Coturnix japonica: one gene and its partners. The main gene of each other region encodes a partner of the protein of the gene in region 2 in a complex. Links are inferred from orthologs where the notes say so. Each region holds a gene or a part of one and is shown on either strand. Other genes may lie near its edges.

Region 1 (4,240 bases), on a different chromosome or scaffold from region 2:
AGCATTCATAAGTTCAGGCACAACGGTCTTATTGCCTGACTTAACCTAGAGGATGAACACCAAGCACTCACCCCTAGTGAGTGAACTTCTACCAGACTGGATTATTTATGTGTGCTTTTAAAAACAATGCAGAAACTGATTTTTGGAAGAGAGTCATGATAACAAAAACCAAACATTTAGTGCACCAAAAGTGTGGAGAAACTACAAATTGCACACTAACCTCAATCCAAGGAAACCTACAAGACTGTAAGTTTCTGACAGCAAGTTGCCTCATTATGTCCAGATCTCCAGAGCTGGAAAGCAAGTGCATAAAAGTTTTGCACCCCCATGCCCTCTGCTGCTCATCAACTCCCCAAAACAAGAGTCATGCAAAGACCAACTGCTCAGCCTACTCAACTCATACTAAAAAAGAGAACATAAAGCACAAAACCCAGTAACAATGTGAACTTCCTCCCTCTTCCCCAACATGACAAGCTCTTGAGAGAGGAAACATCTACAACACATGGCGAATTTAGGGGAATAAAAAGATAAAAGAGCTAAGCAGACCTGAAAAACTACAATGGAACAGTGTCAGCAGACATGGAAGAACTGAAATATTCTGAGGATGGAATAAGAAGGATGTACCAGGATCTTCTTCACCAGACTCCCACGCTTGCAAGGAACACTACGTAGGAGCTACAATGTTTCTTACCGAATTTGGAGTAGAAGTAACACTCAGGCATCTTGGTCATGTCATACTCGTGCAGAAACTCACACTGGTCTCCCTTTTTGCATAGTCCTCGTAGCCAGTGTTTGCAAACGACAGTCTTTTCCCCACTGATGTGTCTGAATGGGCACATACCTCCTGCACAAGGATGAGGCAAGGGAAATGAAAAAGAGGAACAATTAAACTCTGCAGTACAAGCAGGAACACAGCAACAGCAGCGCTTCACTCGCCTCTACAAGAGAGGTTTCAGAAGAACTCAGTTTTTCCTTATGACTTCAGTTCTTAATGGTAACGATAAACAAGGACATCCAGACAAGTCCTGTTTTACCCTCTAATGAGCTGAGCACTGTAGTCTCCATGTCTAAATCCCAGCAGCCGCAACCCATAGACACTAAAACAGCCACATCCACAGCAAACCCCACACAATTTGTGGAGTTAACAAAAGCCATGATTAACATAGAACGTGCCAGCAAATCTATTTCTCCTCCCTGCAATACGAGTGTAAGTGTACTGGAAATACAACTTGCCTTTCCCGCATGCTGCTTTTAAAAAGAATTCACAGACAGCTGCACCTGATTCTGTGGAAAGAAGAAACAAAATAAACGTTAACAAACTTTAGTAGGAGCTTCCAAAGTATTTTCTGCCTGAAGAAACGACTGAGTCCTCAAATTCAAAAGAGAAACAGCATTTTGGTTTGAGGAATTTACATCCCTGCATGAATTCTTTGTTCAGTTCTGGCCTTCACAAATGTCTGTATTCTCCTCAATGAATACACAGCAGGGAAATTTGCAGTTCTGTTTATAGCCTTTCAGACTTCAGGTTGGGCAATGACTATTAAACCACTTGCTGTAGTGAAACATGTTTATAGCCCTGGCTCTCAAAGTCTTTTCTGCAGATCAGCCTGACCCAGTTGTTGCTGCGTTATCCCTCACTGACCTACAGGAATCACAGCACTCAAGGGAGCAATGTGAGGTCAGCAGCACTGACACAGAACGTCAGCAAACTGTTGAGTCTCCCAGGACTACTTGCATCAGTGGACAGGTTGAAGACCCCTATGATGACCAAGTCCAACCAGCCCATTCTCACCACATTGACCATGTCCTTCTGGAGTTGTAGGGAATGATGTGGCCTCCCCTGACTCCCCCATCTCCAGACTAATGCAGGAAAGTGCTCAGATCCCAGACTGTGAACACACCTACACCTTCCCTGCCACCAAAACACCTCACCTATCAAAAGGGCAATCAAACAACAGCGTGGGACAGCAGTGTTTATTCACATGAACGCCTCAACTTTCCTTCCATCCCAGCACGGCACAAACTACGGCTACAGACACACAGCACCCGGCCCAAGGCAGCACCTCAGGGCAGCAGGAGCTGAGGGGACACGAGGAGCCCAGCACAGGGCACGGAACAGCCCCATCCCCACCACCACAGAATCACAGAATGACCCGGGTTGGAAGGGACCTCAAGGATCATGTAGTTCCAACCCCCCTGCCTGGCAGGGCCACCAAACATACACCTTTACTACATCAGGTTGCCCAGGGCCCCGTCCAACCTGGCCTTGAACACCTCCAAGGACGGGGCATCCACAACCTCCCTGGGCAGCCTGTTCCAGGGCCTAACCACTCTCCTAGTGAAGAACTTCCCCGTAACATCCAACCTAAATCTTCCCTCTTTTAACTTAAAACCATTTCCCCGTGTCCTGCTATTGTCAGCCCTTTCCAAGAGTTTACTCCCCTCCTGGCACTAAGTTCCCTTCAGGTACTGAAGGGCTGCACTGAGGTCACCCCACAACCTTCTCTCTAGGCTGATCCCTTCTCTAGGCTCCATCCTTGTCCCACCACCCCGGCTCAGGGATAGAGGTTATGCCGCGCCCGGCGCCCACACGCACTGTCCATGCCGGGAAAGGGCAGCGGCTGCGCCCCCAGCTGCTGCTCCACCGCCAGCTCCAGGTCGAACTTGATGTGGTCCACGCTGGCGATGAGCTCCTGCATGGTTGCAGCCGGGGGGCGACGGCACCGGGTGGGAAGGGGTGGAATGGTTGGGGCCGGCTGTGGCCAGGCCCGGCCCGGCCTGGCCCGACCCAGCCTGCTTCTCTTCGGCAGCGCCTCAACACTCAATGGGGCCGCGCGCGACCCGCGCCGCGCCGCCCGCCCGTCCCGGAGGATGCCGGGAAAACACCTCCGGCTCCGGCCGCCGCTTTGAACACGCCTCTTCCTGCCGCGCATGCGCCGTGGCGCTACGGTGGCCGCGAGGGGGCGGGGCGGTGTGTGCGCCGCGCTTCGCGATGCGGCCTGCACGGCTCCTCCTCAGCCTCCAGCCCGTCCCTTGGCGGTGCTGCCGGGCCGCTGCTCCGCTTCCCTCCGCCTTGTTCCGGTACCTCAGGCCCAGCTTCCCTTCACTGCGTGGCCTGAGGGCGCTGAGCTCGTCGCAGCCGCCCCCTGAGGTGCGCGGTGCTGAAGGCGAAGCTGGTGATGATGATGATGATGATGATGATGAAGGTGTGGAGTTCGGGACGCTGTCTGCTAAGTTCTCCCATAGGAAATATTACCACAAAACCACGGCGGTGTTTCGGAACTTGAAGCTTGAAGAGGATGGGGAGGAAGAAGGGGAGAGGAGGCTGTGGTACGGCCGCAGGAACACGCCGTACTGGTATTTCCTAAGGTGCAAGGCCCTCATCAAGGAGGACAAGGTGGGATTTGGGGGTTATAGTAACGTTTGGTGCTTGTGAACGAGCACTTTGCTGTTAGGATTAGAATGGTTCGCTTGGGAGGGGCTTGAAGTGATCATCAGGTCCCTTTGGCCTTTAACTGAGGTTAAAGTTGCCTTTAAAGTTGCTACTCCTGCCTCCTGTTATAGCTGTCTGTCTGCACTCAGCACTTTTGAAGCCATGCCTCAAGTACTTGTTGTTCAGTTTTGGACCATTCGCTACTAAAAAGATGTGGAGGCCCAGGAGTGTGTCCAGAGAATGGCAATAAAACCATGAGCATAAGTCTTATGGGAAGCAGTTCAAGGTCTGAGGAGACCTCATTGCTTCCTGCTCTCTGAAAAGAAGTTGTGGTGTGGTGGGAGTTGGCCTCTGATCCAGGTAGCAGTGATAGGATGTGAGGTGATGGCCTCAAGTTGTGCCGGGGAGGTTCAGGTTGGATACTAGGAAACATACTTGGAACGAGTGGTAATGTGTTGGAACAGACTGCCCAGGAAGGTGGTGGAGTCGCCATCCTTGGAGGTGTTTGAGAACTGTGGAAATGTGGCACTGAAGGACTGACAGATCAGACTTGATGATCTTAGAGGTCTTTTCCAACTCATTATCATCATTATTAAAAGAAGGAAAACAAGAATTTATGAGGAATTCTGTGCTCTGTAGGATTTCTGACTACAGCTAAGGCTATTCATTGTAACTGAATTGTTGCTTCATAAAACATTTTCCTTTTCTCTGTAGCTGGCAGAGGCCCTGGAGCTGTTTGAGGTGCAGATGCTGAAGGAAGAGCGAGTAAAGCCAGAAGAAATCAATTACACTGTTCTCATTGGAGGC
Region 2 (2,303 bases):
TTATTTTGGAAGAGGGAGAGCTGAGGGAAGATGAAGAGTTAGAGATGCAGGTGGATGTGCCCTCTTCAGACTCTAGTGTCATTGCTCAACAAAAGGCCATGAAAAGTCTCTTTGGTGACGATGATAAGGAGATGTGTGAGGAGAGTGAAATCATTCCTACTTTGGAACCACTGCCACCTCATGAGGTACAGAAACTTTCCTGGTTTAGACTAATTCTGTTTGTTTTTTTTTCCTGAGTTCCGTATTCTAATACTGTTACTGTTGTTTCAGATTTTAAGCTTTTCAGCAAGCACTATTGCATCCAGTAATGGTGCCTAGAGTACAGTTACCTATTGGAGTACAGTTATCTATTGGTCAATATTAGATTGCTGTGTTCCATATTTGTAATTAATACCTGTGGTTTTTTAAATCAGTTGATATTTAGTTTTTCTTGGGTTCCATTATGTTTTGTCGATGCCATGGGAAGTATATAATGTACCTAAGTAGACATATGTCTGAAATTCTTACATCTCTGCCTCTGAGTGATCTGAAAGCTCATTAATTTTTTCATAATATTACTCTTAAATGAAAATTCTTGCACGTGTGAATAGAGAATTTCATTTGTTCAGTTAATGAAGTACTTCCTACTCCTAGAATTACTTAAGGTACTATTGAAGAGTCTTGAATGTAGTCTGTTCTAGGAGCTAGATAAACATGAGACAACTCCTAAGTCTCTTCAGATTCATGACAACTAGTATGGAAGCATGTACTGATCAGCAGTGCAGCTTACTGCAGCTCTGTCCCTGGCATAACTTGGCTCAAAAGAGTCTTCAATATGTGAGCTCAGAAAGAAGTCTCTTGCTTGACAGATGACTTCTGAGGCTTCCCATCCTGGAATTGTCTTGCCAGTTTTCTCCTTTGTAGTCCTTTAGCCTATCCATAGGCCCCGCTGCTGCCAACACAATAAGGAGATGATCTTTGGAAAAATGAAAGGCAATAAGTAGCAGAAGTTTTAAAACTGTTTTCATTGTTTAAAGGTTCCTGGACATCAGTCTGTGTTTATGAATGAGCCAAGACTGTCTGACTTCAAGCAAGTTCTCTTGCGAGAAGGAATTCAAGCCGAGTTCGTAGGAGGAGTGCTTGTGTGCAACAATATGGTGGCTGTTCGCAGGGTAGGTGATCTGTGTCTTAAAACTCTTTGCTAAATAACATTCTAAATGAAAATTAAGCTTCTTGTTTGTTTAAAGGTATTGAATTGAAATGTCTTTTTGTTTCAGACTGAAACGGGGCGCATTGGATTGGAAGGCTGTCTCTGTCAGGACTTCTATAGGATAAGAGAACTTTTATACAAGCAATATGCTATTGTCTAAAGGAAGCTCTTAAAGGTGTTTTGCTTGAACTTCTGAACGTGTGGAGGATTTCTCTCTGGACTTTTTGTAATTTTCTAATTTATACAAGGAAAAAGTAATTCATAAAGATCAGTTAAGTACCCTGGATGTGTAAATAATGGCCATTGTTGCTCTTCATAAATTTGTTGGTATGTTCCATGTTCTTGACTTTCAAACTATTATGACTCATCTCCCACATAACGTGTTAGAAATGAGTTTATGACCACAAACTGTTTCTCAGGAAGGCTTCACATTGATAGAATGTGTTTTGATTTGTTAGATTCCCTGCCAAAGACTACAAAACAGATATAAGTCATTCTTCTGTTCTCAGATAAGTTTATCTAGGGAGTTGTGGTTTCTTTTTTTTCTCTCTTTTTTTTTTTTTTGTTAGTTTTATGTTATTTCAACAAGTTTGATTGATAGAAGATTGTCTTGAGTTGTCTTGGTTTTTTGTTTGTTTGTTTTTGGTTTTTTTTTACATTTTAAATGGGGTCTAGTTAAAATATATTTTTAAAAGCCCACTTAAAGCTGTCTACCGGTATGTTCCACCAGTGTTAATCTGGCTGCATCTTAATTTTGTTGCTTGTCTCCTCTTAATGACTTGTTCCAGTACAGCATTTCATATTCTGTATGAAGTATTAATCTGCAGGATCAAAATATTACTTTGAAAAGGTAAGTTAAGAAGACTGGAGAAGATCCTCAAGCAGCTAAAAATCTAGCAATTATGTCCATCAGAGTAACTTTGGTACAAACTTAATGAATTTGTACCTTCTAGCTTTTGCAAAGTTGTGCCAACTATCAATTATTTTAAATTCTGATTTTTGATACCGTGGAAAACTAAAGCCTTTATGTACGCACTGCTGTTTGTTCAGAGTGCCATGAATCAAGTTCATCATCTTCTAACTTGAAATCTAAGTTCATGTGATACATCTAATG
Region 3 (3,651 bases), on a different chromosome or scaffold from region 2:
GGGGGGAAGGCGGGGCCGACAGGGAAGGCTACAGCCTTAAAGGGCTCCGGAAGGAGATGTGAGGGAACCGCACTTTATTATGATCCACAAGCACTAATGCAGATGACACGGGTAACACTGCACACCCATTCTTTGAGCTTAGTTTCCCACTCATATAACGCATTTGAGTTGCTGATGAAAACGTTTATTCACTTTATAAAAAACAAAAAGTCCAAGTTTGAACGTTACAAGCTTTTTGTATGTGTCCTACGTATCTACAGGTCAGCAGTACACGGGGCTGAGGGCGTCGTACAGCCTCTGTGCAGCCAGTTCCACCATCTCTCGCAGGGATTCATCGTCCTCACTGCCTGGCTCGCAGTCAGCCGTCTGAGAGCACAAAATAAGCATGTGAGAACAAGCACAGCACACACAGGTAAATAACTCCCAGTGCTTCATGTACGTACCCGAGTTTCCAGTGAGAGGTTTGCAGTTTTGCCATCTACGGTGACACACAGAATGGAGCCTTCCTTGGAACTCACACAGTCCTCTCCAAACATATCCCTGGAACAAAGGTTGGCTCACATCAGGTAACTGCCAAACAGCAAACACATTTCCTCTCCATTAACCTTAGGCTTCCAAAGGCCCTGGATTTGAAGTCTCAATGACACCGAGAGCTTTTTCAGGGTACCTCAATCTTTACTTAACTCCAGGCCTACACAGAAGCGTCAATACATTAACTCTACCTTTAAGTGGTACTGTAATAAAACTACTCTATATACACAAATAATGGTGATCGCTTTCATTTAGAAAAAGATCCACTGACTTACTGAAGCATCATTTCCACTCTCTTGCGATACTCTTCCGTGTCTACTTTTGTGGAAACTTTCTGCACTGCAGCTGGAAAGAAAAAGTCATTTTACTTTCATCTACTTCAAAGTGGGAGAAATCCCCGCGACTCGTTTCTAATCCCTCTGTTTTCTTTAGCTGTAGTGAAGTACATCACACAGTGTGGGAGAGGACAGAGAACAGCATAAAACTGAACACCAAACGCCAACTAGAAACTGATAGATAAGACATGTGCACATGCTGCAAATAATGCAAAGCTGTACATGTAATTCTGTGTTTAAGGAACATAAAACTCTTGAGAAGTTCCCTGAGGTGAAGCACAGCAGCAGGAAATCCATTTTAAGGCGTTCTAAAACTCCTGAAGCCTGATGTCCAAAATTCAGCAGTAAACCTCCATTGAAGAAGCATGTGCTACCTACCTTTCTGTATCTTGGGATTCGACTGAACTTCCAGTATCACTGTGGTCACGGTGTCTGCATACATGTCATTGGCAGGATTGGCCACCCACTGGAAGATGGACAAAACAGAAATCAAATCCCAGATTTCAGCCTGTTGTTGGGGCTGAATAAATAACACAACATAAAACAGCACTCATGGCCCTCTTGGAGTGTCACTGTACTCACTGTAGCCACTGAGTCACTGCAAGAGAAGAAACTGGCTGAGTGAAATAACATGCATCAACACAGCAGCATGGCCAAAGGCAACTTCTCCTCTTCACTCTGCTCATGATCCATCAGAAAGCTACTTAAAACAGTTCACTGTGCTCAGCATCTACATGATACTATTCTACAGGATCTGGAGAATGAAAATAGTTGTTTCCCCCCACCCAGTGCCTACCTCGAGGACTACCATGCCTGGTTCCTGGATTACAGTAATACTTTTGAAGACCTTCAGGGCTGGTTTCTGTTGGATTTCTATTTCCTCTACATCACCTAAGAAGCAGCGACAAATGGTTAGTGAGAATAAAATGACACTGAGAACAGGACTAACTGTATCTGCGTGGCTTTCTGAGTGTGCAGTATTGGCCATTGCACTTGCTTTGGATTCTCATAGCTCGTGGGGAGGAACAGAACATGTCGTCTGACACAAGGAAAGAATTCTTTTGTCTTAGTTTTATTAAATAGATGCCATTAAGCGTTCTGCTTTGGGGCTGGAGATAAAGGCTGATCACTTGCTAAATTTTCCATCGGGGTGGCTGAGCTGCTCACTTTGGGGCTGACAGGAGACAAAAAGCAGCTGAGGTTCAACATTGCTGTATGCTCATGGATTTGTATTACAGTTATATTAGGATGCCCACACAGGGTTTGTCACACTCGTGAGATGGATGTGGCAGAAGCTGCACTACATAACGAGAGCTGTAAGACACAAACCAAACTGTGGCACTGCAGAGCAAAGAAGTTCCCACTCAGAAGGTCCCTCCAAAGACTGTAAGTTGATTTAAGAACAAATCACAAACATTTCTTTCTGAATACACACCCGTAAGCTTCTGCAGCTGATAAAAGAGCAGATTGAAAGGGCCGGTATATGGAATGGCCAGTGTCTGTGTCACAGTGCTCATAGCCAAGTCCGTATAATCTGAAAGAATTGTTAAAAGAATGTCTTAACAACAGTTTACTTTAAAAGCTTTAAGTTTGCTTTCTAAAACAATCAGGTTGTCAGCACAGAGAAACAACGGCACCAAAACAATGAAGGCAGAGGGTGCAAAAGGACCGATTGTGAAGAATGGAAATCCTTGATTCTCACACCAACAGCCCAGAAATGTAGGCAAAACTACGCCAAACTGACACCAATGGACACGCGTCCAATGATTTCCTCCAACACAAAGTAACAAACAAGCATCCAAAAGCCAACACTGCACATAATGACAGAGAAGGACACAGAGAGTTTCAATGATCCACTAAGTAAGTTACCGCCTTCACTTACTGGAGAGGTCACACGGAGAAAGGATGTGATAGTTAAAATTCCTTTTGACCAGGATTCCAGAAATTCTCTGTCCTTGCTCCGGCTTCTTATCTGCTAAAGAGCCCATCACCTGAAAAGGAGGAGAACACAGCTAATGTAACATTATTTTTAAGCTGTTTTTTGAAATCATTTTACTAGATGCACCGCATTCATGCCTACAGACCTCCCTCTGCTAGAGCACCCTGTTTACAAGCTGTCTCACTGATTGAAGTATCTAAAGACAGCAGCTCTAAACGCCTGATTACAGTCAAGCATGTAATTATTTAATTCAGCCAAAGTAATTATTCTCCTCTAGTATATACGGATGGATTGCGTGTTTGACAGCATCTTCCTGAAATGTAAATGAAGCCTATCATATTATTTATGCACAAAGCGCAGTGCTCCAACATGACTGGAATTGATATTCTTTGTTAGGAGAAAATTGATGAGCGCTGTTCAGATCACACAGCAAACAGACTGGGATGACTGGACTGAAAACACCAGCAGGTTATGGGTAGCAGAATAGATCTACGTTAGCTAAACAAAAACATTCATATATGTTGTGACCTTGTAAAACACATGCAATCCAAACCCAATTTACCTTAGAGGCTTGGAAGAGAACATACAACTTAGTTTCATAGGATTAAAAACAAGTGTCATTGTATGGAGATGAAAATACTTGATTTCATACCTTGGCAAGCTTTTCTCCTCTGAAGTTTAACGTCACAGCTTCAGTATTCCTCGGATTATGAACTTCTATATGAACTTCGTCGTTATCTTCATACTCCCGTATCAATGCTGCCTTCAATCTGGCCATTTCATTCTGCTCACCATGAACTAAAATCTATGGGAAGACAGTTTTCCTTTTCATGTGAGGTCTCTGTC

What was found.
Region 1: CPSF2 (region 2) and CPSF4 share a complex: the UniProt entries of both Homo sapiens proteins name them as parts of the cleavage and polyadenylation specificity factor (CPSF) complex. The link is inferred for Coturnix japonica from reciprocal best matches to the Homo sapiens genes CPSF2 and CPSF4.
Region 3: CPSF2 (region 2) and CPSF3 share a complex: the UniProt entries of both Homo sapiens proteins name them as parts of the cleavage and polyadenylation specificity factor (CPSF) complex. The link is inferred for Coturnix japonica from reciprocal best matches to the Homo sapiens genes CPSF2 and CPSF3.

What each region holds. Positions count from the first base shown.
Region 1 is NC_029529.1:4,430,370-4,434,609, reverse strand, and holds the start of CPSF4 (cleavage and polyadenylation specificity factor subunit 4), read right to left. Parts: upstream 2,811-4,240; 5' UTR 2,700-2,810; coding exon 2,597-2,699; intron 1,285-2,596; coding exon 1,234-1,284; intron 845-1,233; coding exon 692-844; intron 1-691. Other genes in the region: pentatricopeptide repeat-containing protein 1, mitochondrial, read left to right, coding at 2,811-3,397, 4,148-4,240. UniProt on the Homo sapiens protein: Component of the cleavage and polyadenylation specificity factor (CPSF) complex that play a key role in pre-mRNA 3'-end formation, recognizing the AAUAAA signal sequence and interacting with poly(A) polymerase and other factors to bring about cleavage and poly(A) addition.
Region 2 is NC_029520.1:40,441,501-40,443,803, forward strand, and holds part of CPSF2 (cleavage and polyadenylation specificity factor subunit 2), read left to right. Parts: coding exon 1-185; intron 186-1,016; coding exon 1,017-1,151; intron 1,152-1,256; coding exon 1,257-1,349; 3' UTR 1,350-2,303. UniProt on the Homo sapiens protein: Component of the cleavage and polyadenylation specificity factor (CPSF) complex that play a key role in pre-mRNA 3'-end formation, recognizing the AAUAAA signal sequence and interacting with poly(A) polymerase and other factors to bring about cleavage and poly(A) addition.
Region 3 is NC_029518.1:87,815,891-87,819,541, reverse strand, and holds the end of CPSF3 (cleavage and polyadenylation specificity factor subunit 3), read right to left. Parts: intron 3,611-3,651; coding exon 3,458-3,610; intron 2,858-3,457; coding exon 2,749-2,857; intron 2,401-2,748; coding exon 2,302-2,400; intron 1,758-2,301; coding exon 1,663-1,757; intron 1,333-1,662; coding exon 1,245-1,332; intron 877-1,244; coding exon 807-876; intron 541-806; coding exon 444-540; intron 367-443; coding exon 262-366; 3' UTR 163-261; downstream 1-162. UniProt on the Homo sapiens protein: Component of the cleavage and polyadenylation specificity factor (CPSF) complex that plays a key role in pre-mRNA 3'-end formation, recognizing the AAUAAA signal sequence and interacting with poly(A) polymerase and other factors to bring about cleavage and poly(A) addition.